Linked DNA regions of Astyanax mexicanus. The protein of the gene in region 2 purifies or fractionates together with the protein of the main gene of each other region. This does not show direct contact. Links are inferred from orthologs where the notes say so. Each region holds a gene or a part of one and is shown on either strand. Other genes may lie near its edges.

What was found.
Region 1: the proteins of chek1 (region 2) and hax1 purify together in Homo sapiens (affinity purification with mass spectrometry; 3 studies listed by BioGRID and IntAct, with this or other methods). This does not show direct contact. The link is inferred for Astyanax mexicanus from reciprocal best matches to the Homo sapiens genes CHEK1 and HAX1.

Annotation. Positions count from the first base shown.
Region 1 is NC_064410.1:27,049,177-27,057,105, reverse strand, and holds the start of hax1 (HCLS1-associated protein X-1), read right to left. Parts: upstream 3,095-7,929; 5' UTR 3,012-3,094; coding exon 2,941-3,011; intron 1,364-2,940; coding exon 1,113-1,363; intron 3-1,112; coding exon 1-2. Other genes in the region: ubap2l (ubiquitin-associated protein 2-like), read right to left, coding at 6,146-6,241, 7,203-7,397, 7,490-7,573. UniProt on the Homo sapiens protein: Recruits the Arp2/3 complex to the cell cortex and regulates reorganization of the cortical actin cytoskeleton via its interaction with KCNC3 and the Arp2/3 complex. Slows down the rate of inactivation of KCNC3 channels. Promotes GNA13-mediated cell migration.
Region 2 is NC_064424.1:6,593,589-6,600,657, reverse strand, and holds the start of chek1 (serine/threonine-protein kinase Chk1), read right to left. Parts: upstream 3,002-7,069; 5' UTR 2,838-3,001; intron 1,682-2,837; 5' UTR 1,663-1,681; coding exon 1,598-1,662; intron 1,503-1,597; coding exon 1,279-1,502; intron 537-1,278; coding exon 472-536; intron 1-471. Other genes in the region: cfap53 (cilia- and flagella-associated protein 53), read left to right, coding at 4,193-4,264, 5,554-5,783, 5,908-6,081, 6,515-6,818. UniProt on the Homo sapiens protein: Serine/threonine-protein kinase which is required for checkpoint-mediated cell cycle arrest and activation of DNA repair in response to the presence of DNA damage or unreplicated DNA.

The DNA of each region.
Region 1 (7,929 bases), on a different chromosome or scaffold from region 2:
ACCTAAAGATAAGAAGAAGAAAAAAAAACAGTTTTGTTTAGTGATCTTCAGTGGCCTCGACAGTCAAGGAAATTTATTTAGTCAGAAAACATTTTGTGGGATGTGGTAAAACAGGAGATTTGCAGTCTACAATTATTCTGAGAAATTTGTAGGAATTGTGTGATGTAACCACGAAAAGTTGGACTACAATCTTAAGGAATGTTTCTAACAATTCCTTGGAAAAATGAGTGTCAAAAATCAAGGAAGGCCCTAACTGGAATTTTTAACCAATTACTAGGTGACTGTATATACACATATATTTATGGCACCAATTGTGGGTTTTGTAGTTTGCATTCACTTGTAGGAGCTTAGAAAACTGATGCGCTGTTACACTATATTCACAGCCATAATGCTTAAAATTTTTTTCCAGGTTTAAGTTATTTTTCATTTGTGCAAAAAAAATATGATCTAATAATCTGGTCATCAAAGAAAACCTTTCCTTCTTTCTATTCCTTATTTTTCCTCTTTCTTTTTACTTTTTTATAGCCATCTAATATTTGAACATGCCTCACAAAGGACAAGGTGTGTTTAAAGGAAAAAATATACAATTAGACAACAAATCAGAGTCCCTTTTAACCAGACCTAAAAGGTGTGAAAACGCCTTTAAATGAACATATTTAATTAAAAATAAAATTTCACCTTTTATAACCTTACATTGACTTTTTATATTTTTTTTACATTTAAATATCAATTATTTTTATTATATTTGTTATAAGAAGAAATTACAAGTAATCCCAGAAAATTGGGCGATTACATTTTTTTTTTTCTCAACCGATAGTCCTGTTTACCGTCGATTTTCATCACAGCCAGCAGATGGCATATTTTCCTTTTACTGCAGGAAACAGTGAACGAGCCAACTGCTGCCACTTAATGAGATACAGGCAACCAATGGTGAGAAAAAAATTAACATTCATTGTTCAGGTTGAATTATAGATATGTAGAATCTATTCTTCACTATAAAATATGGAAGTAAAAAGTCAGCAGAAAAATAATTTTCTACAGTAAAGCACAGATAACAAAAATGTCTACTAAAGTGAGGTAACCAAGCATTTCTACTTCATTACTCGACACACCTGAAGAAAACGCATCTCCTCCAAAGCGGCCCAGCCCCTCCAAGATCAACTCCATCTCCCTGAACATCTGCCCGAACCCCGGCGGCTCATGTATGCGCACTCCGCTGGGTCCGAGACTGAACCCGAACCGGAAAGACTCGTCTAACAGATCTTCTTCCCCCGGGCGGCTCGTATCTTCATACAGAAACACAGCATCCTCATCATCATCATCTTCCTCATCGTGGGTCATTCCATCGAAGAAGGGCTCCCTGCTGAGAGAAGCTCATTAAAAAAACTCAGTTTAACAGACTGAACAGAAACTGTTCTAGAACAACTAAACCACACACTGAAAACAGACTGGTACCTGTAGGGAGCCAGCCAGCCAGACATAAACAAGTGACTACAAAAGTAAGGTTACTTTGTGTATGACCAACAGTTTTATTAACTAAAATGTCACTTCCATTTACTAGAATCTACTATCATTTACTATTAAAAACTCTCATTTCACAGGTCAGCTATGACTTTAGTTTTACTAGTAATAATATACTATACATATATATATATTAAAATCCCAGATTTCACAATATACTTAAAATCTGCTTTTAGCTACAGTGTACCAGCGAGCTAGAATTTACAGGAAACGTTGAAGCTCAGCTCGCTGGAATAACAGAATTATTTAATATATAATAGTTTCTAATCACAATCAGAAAGCCTGTGATTGTTTTAAATGAGTTTTTTAATGAGTTTATCTTTTTCCTATTTTATTTTAATTTATTTATTTTTTTTATTTATGTATTACTAATATTTTTTTATTCTAATGTTTTTATTTTGATTCATATGTTCTTAGTTCATTAATATTCATTTTATTTCTCATCATTTTACTTTACTTTGTAAATTTACATTTACATTGTAAATGAGGGTTACCTTCAATGTATTTCCGAGAGAAAAAAAAGCTTGATTAATTGATTGATATGTCTAGTATTAATGTGCAGTTCGAATATGTGCAGTTTTCCATCATATAGGTAATTACTGTGTCTCTAGGTGGGACTAGTAATAATAACATTATCTCTAAAACAATACACAATCTCTAAAATTGCACTAGACATCAACTAGCAAAAAACTTTATTATGGATTTAATTTAGTTATTTACTTAGTAAAATTTTACTAACTTAATTTTATTATTATTTACTATTATAACTTTGTTTTTTAATTGTAAATGTAAATCAATAGTATAATATCACTACTCAAAGGTGTGTTCAGAATAAGTTTGCTTGGCAATATGATCTTCACTACAGTACAGAGAGCATAGCTGATTAGGGAAAGTGGAGCTCTAGTAAAACCTGCAGGTCAGAGATCAGTAATTCGAGTTTATAATAGTAATAATAAGGAAAACCCTCTAATTATGTTGTTATTTAAGTGTTATTTGGGGCTAATGTGCTGTTATTAGTGTTGTCATGATCTGATGGCAGAGATAGGTGAACAGACTGAAAGTGTTAGGAACGCTATGTAGTTAGCTTACTTGCTAATTAGCTTAGCTGTCTGTATTTATCTGAAGGTTCAACTCCTCGGTCACTTCTTTACAATGTTTTGTGTAATTAAGAGTCTGGGGGTTTGTTTCTGTTATTAAATGTCAGTTATGATGTGAAACTCTGTATAGTTAAGCTAGGCTAGGCTAGGCTAAGCTAGTCTAGTGTACTGTAGCTAACTCGCTGTGGAACTTTCTCGCTCTCCTCTGTTTATTATGATGACATAGCGCTGAGCTGCTGTCAGGCTCTCTGAGTTTCATCACACGGACTAGTTCAGCTGCCTCTTTCTCCCGCAGACAGAAACACAGAACCACTCCACCCACCTGCGACCGTGTCCACCGTACTGCCCCCCGGGCAGCCCGAAGAATCCGCGGAACAGATCAAAGACGCTCATTTACCCCTGAAACTCAGAGCAGCGCAGAGAGAGCAGCCATAACCGGCCCAACCGACCACCGTCAAACAACCAGGTCACGTGACTAGAGGGGGTAGTGACGTAGCGCAGCACGGAGATCCCGCCCACTTCTTTATCCCCGTATATAAAAGGTAAATATTATACAATTACAATTACAATTTTATAAAATAAAATACCCTTAATTTCAAACATGTTTATTTAGACATAGATAATTATACACACCTTGGTAAACAAGGAGTTCAACTAATATATATATATATATATAAAAAAATAATAAATCCATTGGTACGTTGAAGCTTTTCAAATCCCACCATTTGAAAAGTGTTTTTTCTTTATTTTCGTATAGTTTTGTTGCTGGATATATTAATCGTGACATTTGCCTATTGATGTTTCTATTTAACCACGTTAGATTGTTGTAAATAGAAAAAGTAAATATTGAAAAGCACATGAGTAGCTATATTGGTAATGGCATTTTTTTTTTTCCTTATAAAATGTGCGTGAGTAAAGGACTTGTATATTCCCATGTTTCAACAGGGTAATACTGGTAGACGAGCTGATGTTGAACTTACAGCCAGAGCATTAAGTCTTCTAGCTGGAGTTTAAAAACTTTAAAATAATAAAATAATTAAACATTTGATATTTATTAACTTTGATTCTAGTTTCTGGATTTGTCAGAGCAGCAGAATACCCAGACTTTTAATTGAAATTTAAAATACTAAAGTCTGTGTTAAATTTGTCTATAAATGTCAGTTGTTTTCAAAGTGTGGAAACCTGTAAGAAATTTAAACTAGAACACTGTTCTTCACACAGTTTGATTTCCTACATGGAAAGTCAGAACCACCTCACTAATCCAGAGTTCAGAATCCACAATGGGTGCACTGCACTGCACATCAAGTAGTACAGTCCATAAAAAAAAAATGAGTACAGCACCAGACTCAGGTCTTCATTTAGAATTCAGCTACTCCAGGTAAATCAGAAGGGGCATGATGCAGGTCTGTAAACTGTCTCTAGCATTCAAGCTGTCAATCACTTTTACACCCCCTGTAACCCCACAGAGTTATAATTGTAGAACTTTTTTTTTTTTTTTTTTTTTTTTTTTTCAACTGATTTGCTGTGCCAATATTAGCACAGGGAAAACTAAAAATTTTAAGTCGATACTGGATATGGAAAGACAGTTTACACTACAAAAATTAAGAGCTGGTTTGTATTTGACATATATAGGGATGGGTGGACCCACACATCAGACTGTGGTAGATTGACAGGATTTCACACTGGTAATGTTCACACCAAGAAACCCAAAAAAGCAAGTACTTAGTGTGGTCAAATCACTTTAAATACCTTTTTTCATGAAACGCAACATGCAAATCCCAAACCTGCAACATAAGGTAAAAGCAAGAGCTGTCCAGGTGTTGAGCAAATCTGGGATCTTCTTCAGATTAGCACAGAAGTGAGGACTGTTTAGAAAGCATGGGACATCCAGAAAAGTGTTTTTCTTAAAAAAGACATTCACATCCAAAATGATGAAAATGTCTTTTTCCTGTTTATTTACTTAATATTTATAATATATATATTTTTTACAAAATAAAAAAAACATTATGAAACAAAAATGTTTAGTCTGTGTGTAAGTGAATTGAGAGGGGGAGGAAAAAAGCCATTGAACAAACATGGACTACAGTACTTGTGTTTTTATATATATATGTACAAGACAAGTTTATCCATTTAATTTTTTTTTTTTTAAAACGCACAGTACAAAAAGAAAAGTCACTGACAAAAAAGGAAACCCATAATACAATTCTCTCCATCAGTACTTTCCTAATTATCATAATATTAATAAAATAATATTTGGGGAAAGGTGATGACTCTAAGGAGAGGGAGAAGATTGCAATGTATAATGTCAGAAGAAAACAAAAATTAAAAAATAAAATTAAACAAAAACAAAATGTATGCCAACATATTTGCACATACAGAGCGACCTACGGATATTCTGACCTGTCCAGTTCACAGCATCTGTCCAACAGCAGAGACGCTGTGATGCCTCTGAGGCCAGAAGTCATGCCAGGTTATCCTACCCTTTCCCACCCACACAAAACAGAGCAACGGGATGAAAAATAAGGGAAAACAATACACTGGGATGCTTCATAGAAAGGAGCTCGAGTATGCATATGACCAGTGTCCTCTTCATTCCAAACCTGTACAATAATTACGGGCTCAAAGGGTTTATTTTAAGTGAGTCCAACATTCACACACCAATGGCCACCCTTATTAGAGACTCGTGTATGTAGGGGAGAAAACCAAAGAAAACAAAAAAAAAAAAAAAAAGTACTTAAAAAAAGAAAAGAAAAAGAACACTCCCACACTTGAAACATATCCAACATATTTGTGCCCTCGTATACATTTTTATATATCTATATATTTATATTTGGTAAAAAATAAACTCCACAACTGCTTTAGCCGATCTAGCGCAATACCTCCCCCCAAAAATAAAAATTGGTAAAAACCTAACAAGGAAGGAGAAAAAAAAAAAAAGATAGGGAAACAAAACCCAAACACACACACAACCACTAAGATGGTGTATCTGGGTTTGAAAACTGATAGCCCAAGCAGGGTGCAAAGTAGAGAAGAGTGGGAAAGAAGGGGAGAGCGAGCGAGAGACCAACAGAGGAACGCCCAAACAAAAACCCTCAACTTCTCTCCCATTATCCCCAGTCCTTCCAAAAATTAACATCCATAAGAAAAAAAACCTTTAGAAAACAGCTCTATGTTACATATGACAGAACGAGAGAAGGGGTTGGGGCATTTTTTTTTAACACAATACAAACTCCAAACACTCAATACTTGGCTCTTGAAGGCCTAAGTTACTAGAACCATACACCCTCCAAACCCCTTCCTCTTTAAGACTCCTCCTCCCCTGGCCACCCTGCCCCTCTCCACAGTGCTACCTCTTAGTACAGCACCACCACTGGTGCAAGATGGTACTGCAGAGACACTAGACAGGGAGAGGCGAGAGGGGCAGTGGAAGAAGGGCGCAAAGAGGGGATTTATTTTTCTTTTTTAGGGAGGAAGAAAAGGGTCCCCTAATTTAGCCTGTCGTACACCACATTGGAATATCGGGAGGGTTAATTGCCTCCCCAGTTATAGCTGTTGTAAGCAGACTTGTTGATCTGGGACTTCTGCTGAATGGAAGCATTCTGACTGCGCTGTCCAGAGCCACTCTGAAACAGATGGGTGGGGAGAGAGAGAGATAGAGAAACAGACACTTTAAAACACAGACCGATAATAAAAAAAGGGAAGAAGAAAAACAGAGCAGCACATCTATAGATGTAAATAGAGTGTGAAAATTCTGTCAGACTGATTTGAGGTGCCAAAATTGTAAAAGATGTTTTCAAATTCACAACACATTTTTCCCTCAAGTTGGACAGGCTACAACTGCAAAAGACTACGCAGGATTTATTGGAGTGGACATGATGGAGCTGGAAAAACAAAATTTATAAATCCTTGTCTGATAAATCTTAAATTTCCACAGTAAAATTGCAGGGTCATTCAGACATTCAACTTCAGACAAGGGCTGGGCAATATTGTAGAAAAAATAAAATAAATAAATATTAAACATGGTGCAACCAGAAACTTTTTTGTATTTAAGTTTAGGAAACATGTACAATGTGAAAATCTGTGGAAAAAAAAGAAGCAAAATGTCTATTGAGATTCTCTCTGCAGCTACTATATATAAAGATGTACAATCTCTATTACACCATTCTGAGGATTACATTAAATAAAAAAAAATTATTAACCTCCCATTGCTACTTCAGACTGGTCTCTCTTTATAGGACTTATATGGTCCTTGTTTAATGTATTAACAAACTGATCTCACTCTGGTGTTTAAGTCTAGGCAAATATTTTATGTCTGTAGGATATTTATTTTTTTATATTCAAATTTAAATGGATGAACATAAACATTATCAAAATCTTAAGGCTCTTTAAACAAAGTAAGATCATGGCCATCGAAGACCATTTATGTCAGTGGTACTGATAATAGCATGAAATACAATATTGTTCATTGCAAAGTTACTGTGATTAACAATTGTTCTTCTCTGTAATTTAATGCAACCACCAATTGGTCAGGTTTTTTATGCATTACTTCAGAGAGTTTCTAAAATAGTCATGGTGGCTCCTCACCTGTCCATCCTGCTGTAGGTGGTGGTGTAACATCTGGGAATGTGGCTGCTGATGGGGAGCCAAAATATGCATGAATGGGGCAGGAGCATAGCCAGCTGCAGCCGGAGGATTGATTGGACCACCACTGCCCAATGCTGAGGGCAGACTGAAGGAGGCGCCAGGTGTCCCCGTGTGGAAACCCTGCTTGTCAAATGACTGGAAAGAAAAATAGAAAAGATCAACACTAAAAAACACAGAAAAAAGTGTCACAAAAGAAATAATAAAGAATTTGTTTATACTGGACTCACCTGTGTCTTCGTGTAAACAGACCCTGAAATGTCAGGGACTCCAGTGTTGCTGGAGGTCACTGAAACACCTGAGGGAAAGCCAACACACACAAAGGCAAAGAGCCACAGTGTTATTCTAACAGAACCTCTGCTAAACACAATAGACAAACACTGAAGCTTCACTCAAAAGAAAAGACTATGTATCTAATAGGATTCACCAACCCTGCTCCCGCTTAAATGTTCAGCTCTACAAAGTAATTATTCCCCTGACCTGATCTAATTTCTGCCTTCAGGAGAGCTTGGTCAGCTGAATGGGGTGTATTAGACTACGTACTAGGGGTGTCACGATTCTCTAAATCCTCGATTCGATTTTATTTCTGATTTTAGGGTCACGATTCGATTCTTGATTTTCTTTTTTTACAGCAGAGGCCTATGCCAGTTTTAGGCCTATGCCAGTTTTA
Region 2 (7,069 bases):
ACAGTGCTTTACAGTTTTAAAAAAATATAATAGCTATAATAAATTGTACACAATATAATGTGACGTTATAGATAACATTTAAAAGTCCATATCAGTATTATGTGATGAAATAGGTATTTTTGTATAATTGTTTATATATAAAATGTTAGCAGTTTATATGCATGCACTGAATATTCTGGAACTTTCAGATATATTTTCATAGATTTTTTGCTACTTCATTACCATTTTGTGCAAAATCAATTTTGGTAAGATACTGATTACAAAATAGACAAAAATTATACATTCATTGAATAAAGCTTTGACATTTATTTTGTTGGCATAATATATTTTTAGATCAAATATAATATTATCAGAGGATTTTTTGTATTGTCAAAAATATAATCATCGGAAAAATATTGGGCTATAAATTGTTGGACCATATTGAACACCCCTAATAAATAATTAATATAATAAATAAATATCAGCACTCACCACTCCTCCTATCAGCTGCTGGAAAAACCTGTGAGCCTCTTTTTCTGGCATTCCCACATCAGGTTCTGAGAAACAACACAAATATAAATGTTTAATTATCTTCAAATATTTGCTAAATAGACCAGCTGATCCCTGTAGTTGCCTTCATTCTGTAGTCGGCTACATGCCCATTACTAGAAACTCCAGGTTTAAGATTGTTTTCTCTGAATTATGGGAATTTTGGGAAAAATGCTGTTGTTGCATCCTGTGAAAAACAAGAATATACTAAACCTGATATAATACATTTTTCACCTAGAAATTACTGGATGCTTTTGAATAATATGTCCTTTAAGCTTTGTCTAACATGTCTGCAATTTGTACATTTTCTCCAAATGTTATAGTTTCAGATTTGGAACATTTTTCTGCATCATAGTGTTTGTTTTTAGTGCTTTTGGTTTATTTATTTATTTCTGCATTTTTCTCAGGATCCACAGAACTATGCAAACACCAATAAAAGTTGGGCAATATGACAATATATTATCATATTTCACAATGCTTTTCCTTAAAGCATATCAAGAATATCATCACTGCCAAAAGAACACTGACCCAGCTGTACATTTAACTGCATAAAGTGTAGAAAATCCTGTTTAAGTATATGACAAATCTCTGAAAAATAACAGTTTTTAGGAATCTACCACTGCTGTTCCCTTTTCTCCAAGTGTCAAAACATTACATGTAATATAATATTTTAACCAATTATTTAATTAGGGTCAGACTAAGGTTTATTACGTTTAATTTAAACATTAAATCAATGTTTTCTGCTCTCACCTATTCGATCAAACAGCTCTCCTCCACTGCAGTACTCCAGGAAGATGTACTGGATGGGCCCCTCACTCCTGTGCCCGAAGAATCGCACGATGTTGGCGTGTGACAGCATCTTGTGCACACAAACCTCTTTCTTCACATTGTCCAGACAGTCTTTAGCTCGGGATGTGTCGACAACTTTCACAGCCACTGCCTCCTCTGTCTTTCTGTTCACTAACAGGCGTACCCTGAAAAAAACAGCATAAAAAAATAAATATTCAGAATCATTTTAATGGTTCCAGAACAGACAGCACAGAGAAAAAGCCCACAGATGGACACTCACTCTCCATATGCACCCTCTCCTAGGGTCTGCACCAGATCCCAGTCTTGAACAAAAGGAACAGCCATTATCTGAATTGAACAGACACTGAACACAAAACCAGAACATTAGATCAGAAATCTCCACAAACAGGTTTCTAAATGAGTATTCTGTTGTATTTATTTTGCCATGTAAAGCTTTAAAGGGTATATTTTGTATAGTTGTTTATACACAAACTAAATATACATATTCTACAATTTAGTATTATGGCAGATTTGCGTTGTTATATCAGATTATTTTCATATTACATTATTTATTTTGTTACATACTTATTTCATACAAAATCATCTTAGAATGTTATTGTTGTTTCCAAAAAACGACAACAAAATGATTTCTTTATCTGCTAAGTTTATCACAACAATACTTTAAAATATCTTGATTATTTTACTGTTGATGAAAACCCAATCATATAATTGGCAGTGTGGGCAGTGTGCCAACCAAGTCATGTTGGAAAATGAAATCCACATCTCCATAAAAGTTGTCAGCTGAAGTAAGCATGAGGGCTGTAAGATATCGGATTTTATTTTCCAGCAGGACTTAGTTGGCACACTGCCCACACTGTCAAAAGTACCAACTGGTCTTATATAATATTCTAACTTTCTGAGCAACTGATTTTGGGGTTTTCATAAGCCATAATTAACCATTAACTATAACATAAATAAACACCTAAAATAGATCACTCTGTGCGTAATACATCTATATAATATATAACATATATCACATATTGAACCGAATTACTTAATCAAAGTAACTTTTCAATGATATTCTATTTTTTTTGGAGATGCACTTGTATACACATATACAGATGCAGTTGTAATAATGCTGTAAGTTAACTGCAATATTAAGATACAGTACAGTCATTGACGTATCAATAACTTATCAATATTAAGCTTATCTATTGATAGTGATTATCTACTCTCTTGAGAGGCCAGCCTGTAACGTTAGAGTTTCTCTTATTAAAGTTTCTATTGTTTTCTCACTTTTTTCTAACATTAATCTAATCCGGCAGTTACCCATTAAACCCTTCTTATATATTTATATTCAATATTTATCCTAAATTGATATTTATTTATTTATATGTATTAATATAGACGAAGTTCAGGATCTGTGATCTGCAGCAGATAACGTTACAGTCAGAGAGCCGGACTGTATAACAGCAGTTAAATAAACAGTGTTTCTGAGTCTCAGCGCTGATCTAACTCACCTCACACACCGCAGCTCTGTAGTGGATTAAGGGGAAATTCTCCCATATAAATAATAAGCGCGTGTTAGCGCAGAAAACACGATTTATTAATGAGTATATTATATATCCGCTGCTTCCTCCAGCCACACAGCAAAACAAACTTTGGCGCGTTTAGTAGCAACGCGCTCACAGGAAGCACGATACAGTACCACCACTTTTCAAAATAAAAGCCTCAACAAGTCTTATTCAGAATTAAGTTTAGAAGCAAGTGATTAATGAGTGGGCTGTGCAAAATTGGGGAGAAAATGGGTATTTTAAAAAATAAAATAAAGAAAGTGATTGAAGGCTAAAATAAAATAACATAAATACACCATAAAACAATAATCCTATTTAATCCTATATATACCATATATAGTGACACAGAAATATCGTGATATTAAAAATCCATATTGTGATGATAGGGATGTTCTGTCTTAAAAGTAGTCTGTTATTTACTGTGAAGTTTTAAGTGTATTTATTGTATAATTGTTTTAGTTAGCAGTTTATATCAGCGCTGTCCTATGAAAAAAAAAACACTTATCTCCATTTTTGTTAATTTTCAGTTTACTACATAATTTGAACAGACAACCTGTCCCTCACACTGAAATAAACTCTTTTTATATTGATTTCCACTGAAAGTTTACAAGGTTTTTTCTGTTTTGGAGATCAGTGTTTTTTATTGGACAGCGGCAATATGCATGCACTAAATATTCTGCAATATTTTTTGCTGCATTATATTATTTTATGCCGTATTATTTGAATGAATTATTTTAGTTTTTTCCCAAAAATACAGTTAATTACCAGAATAAAAATAATGCTAGCATGATTGATGACAATTATATTTAAAGTAGTTGCAACAATAATACATATCTAAGTGTTTCTAACACTGATTCATTTAACTTTTAAATACCCATTATCAAAAGCTTGGTCTTAAGGAAGAAAATGTGCGATTAATTGGGATTTTTTTTATATTATTGACACATTTTTTTACAATTGTTGTGTCTTGTACTGAATTATTTTATATTGTTTTGTGTTTAAAAAAAGTTTTTTTTATATAAAAACGATCAAACATTGATCAAATATGATTTTGTTTAATTGCTCCATACGAACTCATTCATTTTAGGCTCAATCAGGAGCGCCCTCTAGTGTCAAACATACCCAGAACACATTAATAAGGGGGTATTCTCCTCTGTAGATTATCTCTGGTATCGCTGGTTGCTAGGATACAGAAGGGCATTACCGCAAACAGAAGTGTCCTCCATCAGGTTTAAACTCCCCAGAGCAATACTTAGGAAAATTTAGGATTTGTAATATTAATAATTAGCTAATTAGTCAATATGCTGATGAGTCAGAGACACCGAACACAGTGCCGGGAGTTCACCGGACCCACCCCTCACTCAGTGGCAGTGGTGAGTTTATTTTGTCTTATTTTATCAGAGGCTCCAATGTGTTATTATTCAATTCTGATAAACAGTAACTAGATCAGGAAGGTTTATTACATAAATATGACTTAAATATGATATTAAATATTACAGCAGGCCAGTGGCTACATATCTAGTATTTAAAATCCATTCAACAGTTTAAACTCAGAATTCTCACAGACTTAATTTACCAGTCAAACTTTTCAACACATCTTTTCATTCAATGTTTTTTATTTATTTATTTATTGTAAGTTTTTTTCTACATTGTAGATTAATATTATGGCCAAAAAAAACAATTAAGGGACACATATGGAATAACATAATAAACAGTAAAACAAAAAATAGATTAGACTATAAACGAGCCAAAGAAAAAGTTTATTAGCCAGTGAAAAAATAACTTAACCCTGCCCACTGCACTAAAAAAACAGCACTAAAAGCCAAAGAGGCAAATTAAAACACCCCATTTTTAATTATTGTATGTATTTAATATAATGTAATGTATTCCAGGAACTCCTTCAAGACGCTGAGAAAACTTTTCCAGGTGACACTCCCTCATGAAGACACTGAGATTAAAATACCAAGATACTCAATACTCAAAGATAAATGTACTACTTTAGAGTTTATACTCTAAATTATAAAACATATTCTGGTTTGTTTAAAACTTGTTTAAAGAACAATTCATCACGTGTTCCTGTAGATATAAGGTCTTCATTATTAAATGTAAATGTAAAAAAATATATAAAAAATATATAAAATACATTGAATGAGAAAACGTGTACATTTCTGCTGCTATGGTAAGACTGGTGACAATCTATTGTCCTGTGTTTGTTAGCTAAGTTAGCCTAGCAACTGTGTCCTCTTAGAAAGTCTGCATTTTGCTTTGTTTCTGCTCCATACAACTCTACCAGGTATTCATTCAGTCATAGAACTTCTAGGAGTCCCAGAATTTGATTCCCTAGTTCCCTCACCATGTTGTCATATTTTGGGGTTTTATATGACATCATAATATATGTATATAAATAAAATCAAGAATTTTTATAATGAAAAATGTAAAAAAAATTCTCAACACAAATCAGTATCAAATGTTTTAAAACTGCAGATGTAATTTTTAAAAGCTTTTAAACAACAGTTATAAAAAGTAATTCTATTAAGGGGGCCAAGTCCAAATGAGTTTAGAGCTCCTCATATCGCTAACGATATGTCCCACCCCTACTTGTTATTGTGAAGTCTTTTCTTATTAATGATTATTGATTAATTATCTATTTAAAATATTTTAGAGGGCACGGCATCCATCATCCAAACCCCCAGATTACTTTATTCTGGAGAGGAGGAAACAGGAAGTCAGTCGAAACAAGGTGCTAGAATTCACCAAGGACCAGAAAACCTGTGACCTGAAGATGCTTTGGGAAAGAAACACTGAACAGCGGATGGTGTCGGCCACTATTGACAGGCGGGTCAATGAGGCTATGGAACAGTATCAGATGAGCATCGATGAAAGGAGAGAAAGGTTCTCAACTCAGTTCATTTTTACACTAATTAAAATCTACTACCGTACTTTTATTATGAGTAGTTTCTTACTTTTTCTCTCCTTCTTTTATTCTTTTTCTTTCACACTATTACTGTTCTTACAGGCTGCGTAAGATGCTGGAATCAGAGGAGAGGGAATTTCTGCGGGCAACAGAGGAGCAGAACGAGACTGTGCTGGAGAGGCAAACCAAAATGAGAGCGAGGGCAAAGTATCTGCAGGAGAAAAGAGAGAGCGAGAGGCAGAAAGTCGCTGCTGAGAAACTTGACCAGCTCTTTAGGTACAAATGTTTTTTTTTTTTTATTACTGCTAACTGTGCATAACATAACTGTATCTAAAGGATATGCTGTAAATGGCAACTTACAGCATGCAAAGGGTTTTGGAAACACATAATGATATATAGTGAGCACACATGCCTGGAGTGGTGGGCATTTGTCACTTAAGGGCTTAAGGGCCACAGTCCTGTCATCAATAACCTGCTACTCTAATAACATGTGACCATTAGGGGTAGTGGTGGTGCAGAAGTTATATTATAGGTTTGAAATCAGGGCTCGTCAAGCTACAGTAGGTCCTTAACTCCACATGCTGCTGCGATGTCTGCCCACTGCTCCAGGCATGTGTGCTAATGTCACTGTGAATGTCACTGTGAATGCAAAAGGCATACAATATTTATTTTAATTAATCATGGGTGTTTTACTCCGCTTGTATTTCAGAGAGCAGTGTGAGGAGCTGAGGACTGCAGAGACCCTGCGCAGACGGGACGAGATCTGCAGGGAGCGAGCTGCTCAAATCCGTACACGGGACGAGGCACGCCGTCTGCATAAGGATGAAGAAATGCTGTTCGCTAATCTGTGGGAGAACGACCGACTGGCCAAAGAGCAGCGCGAGATCCAGGAGGCTCAGCGTCAGCGCGAGAGCAACTTTCACACCCTGGCTTTTCTGCAGGATCAGATGATGGCGGCTGAGCAGCAGAGACAGCAGGCCAAACAGCTCAAAGAGGAAGAGGCCAAGTTACTGGTACTAGTTTCCTAACAGTTTACATGTAAAGATTAGTGGTAGACAGTGTTTCAATTTGGTGTTGTGTTTAAACCACTTGCACCAGTTAGAAGTGTTGTACTCTGTTGTCAGATCCGACTGTTCTGATTGGATAGCAATCAAACTTTTCCTTTACTCAGATTTTATTAATATAATAGGATCTTTTTATGCTATAAAAGTTTTTCTTAAATTTGTTTTAAAGAATTGCAAATTATTACCTTGTTTTACAGTAT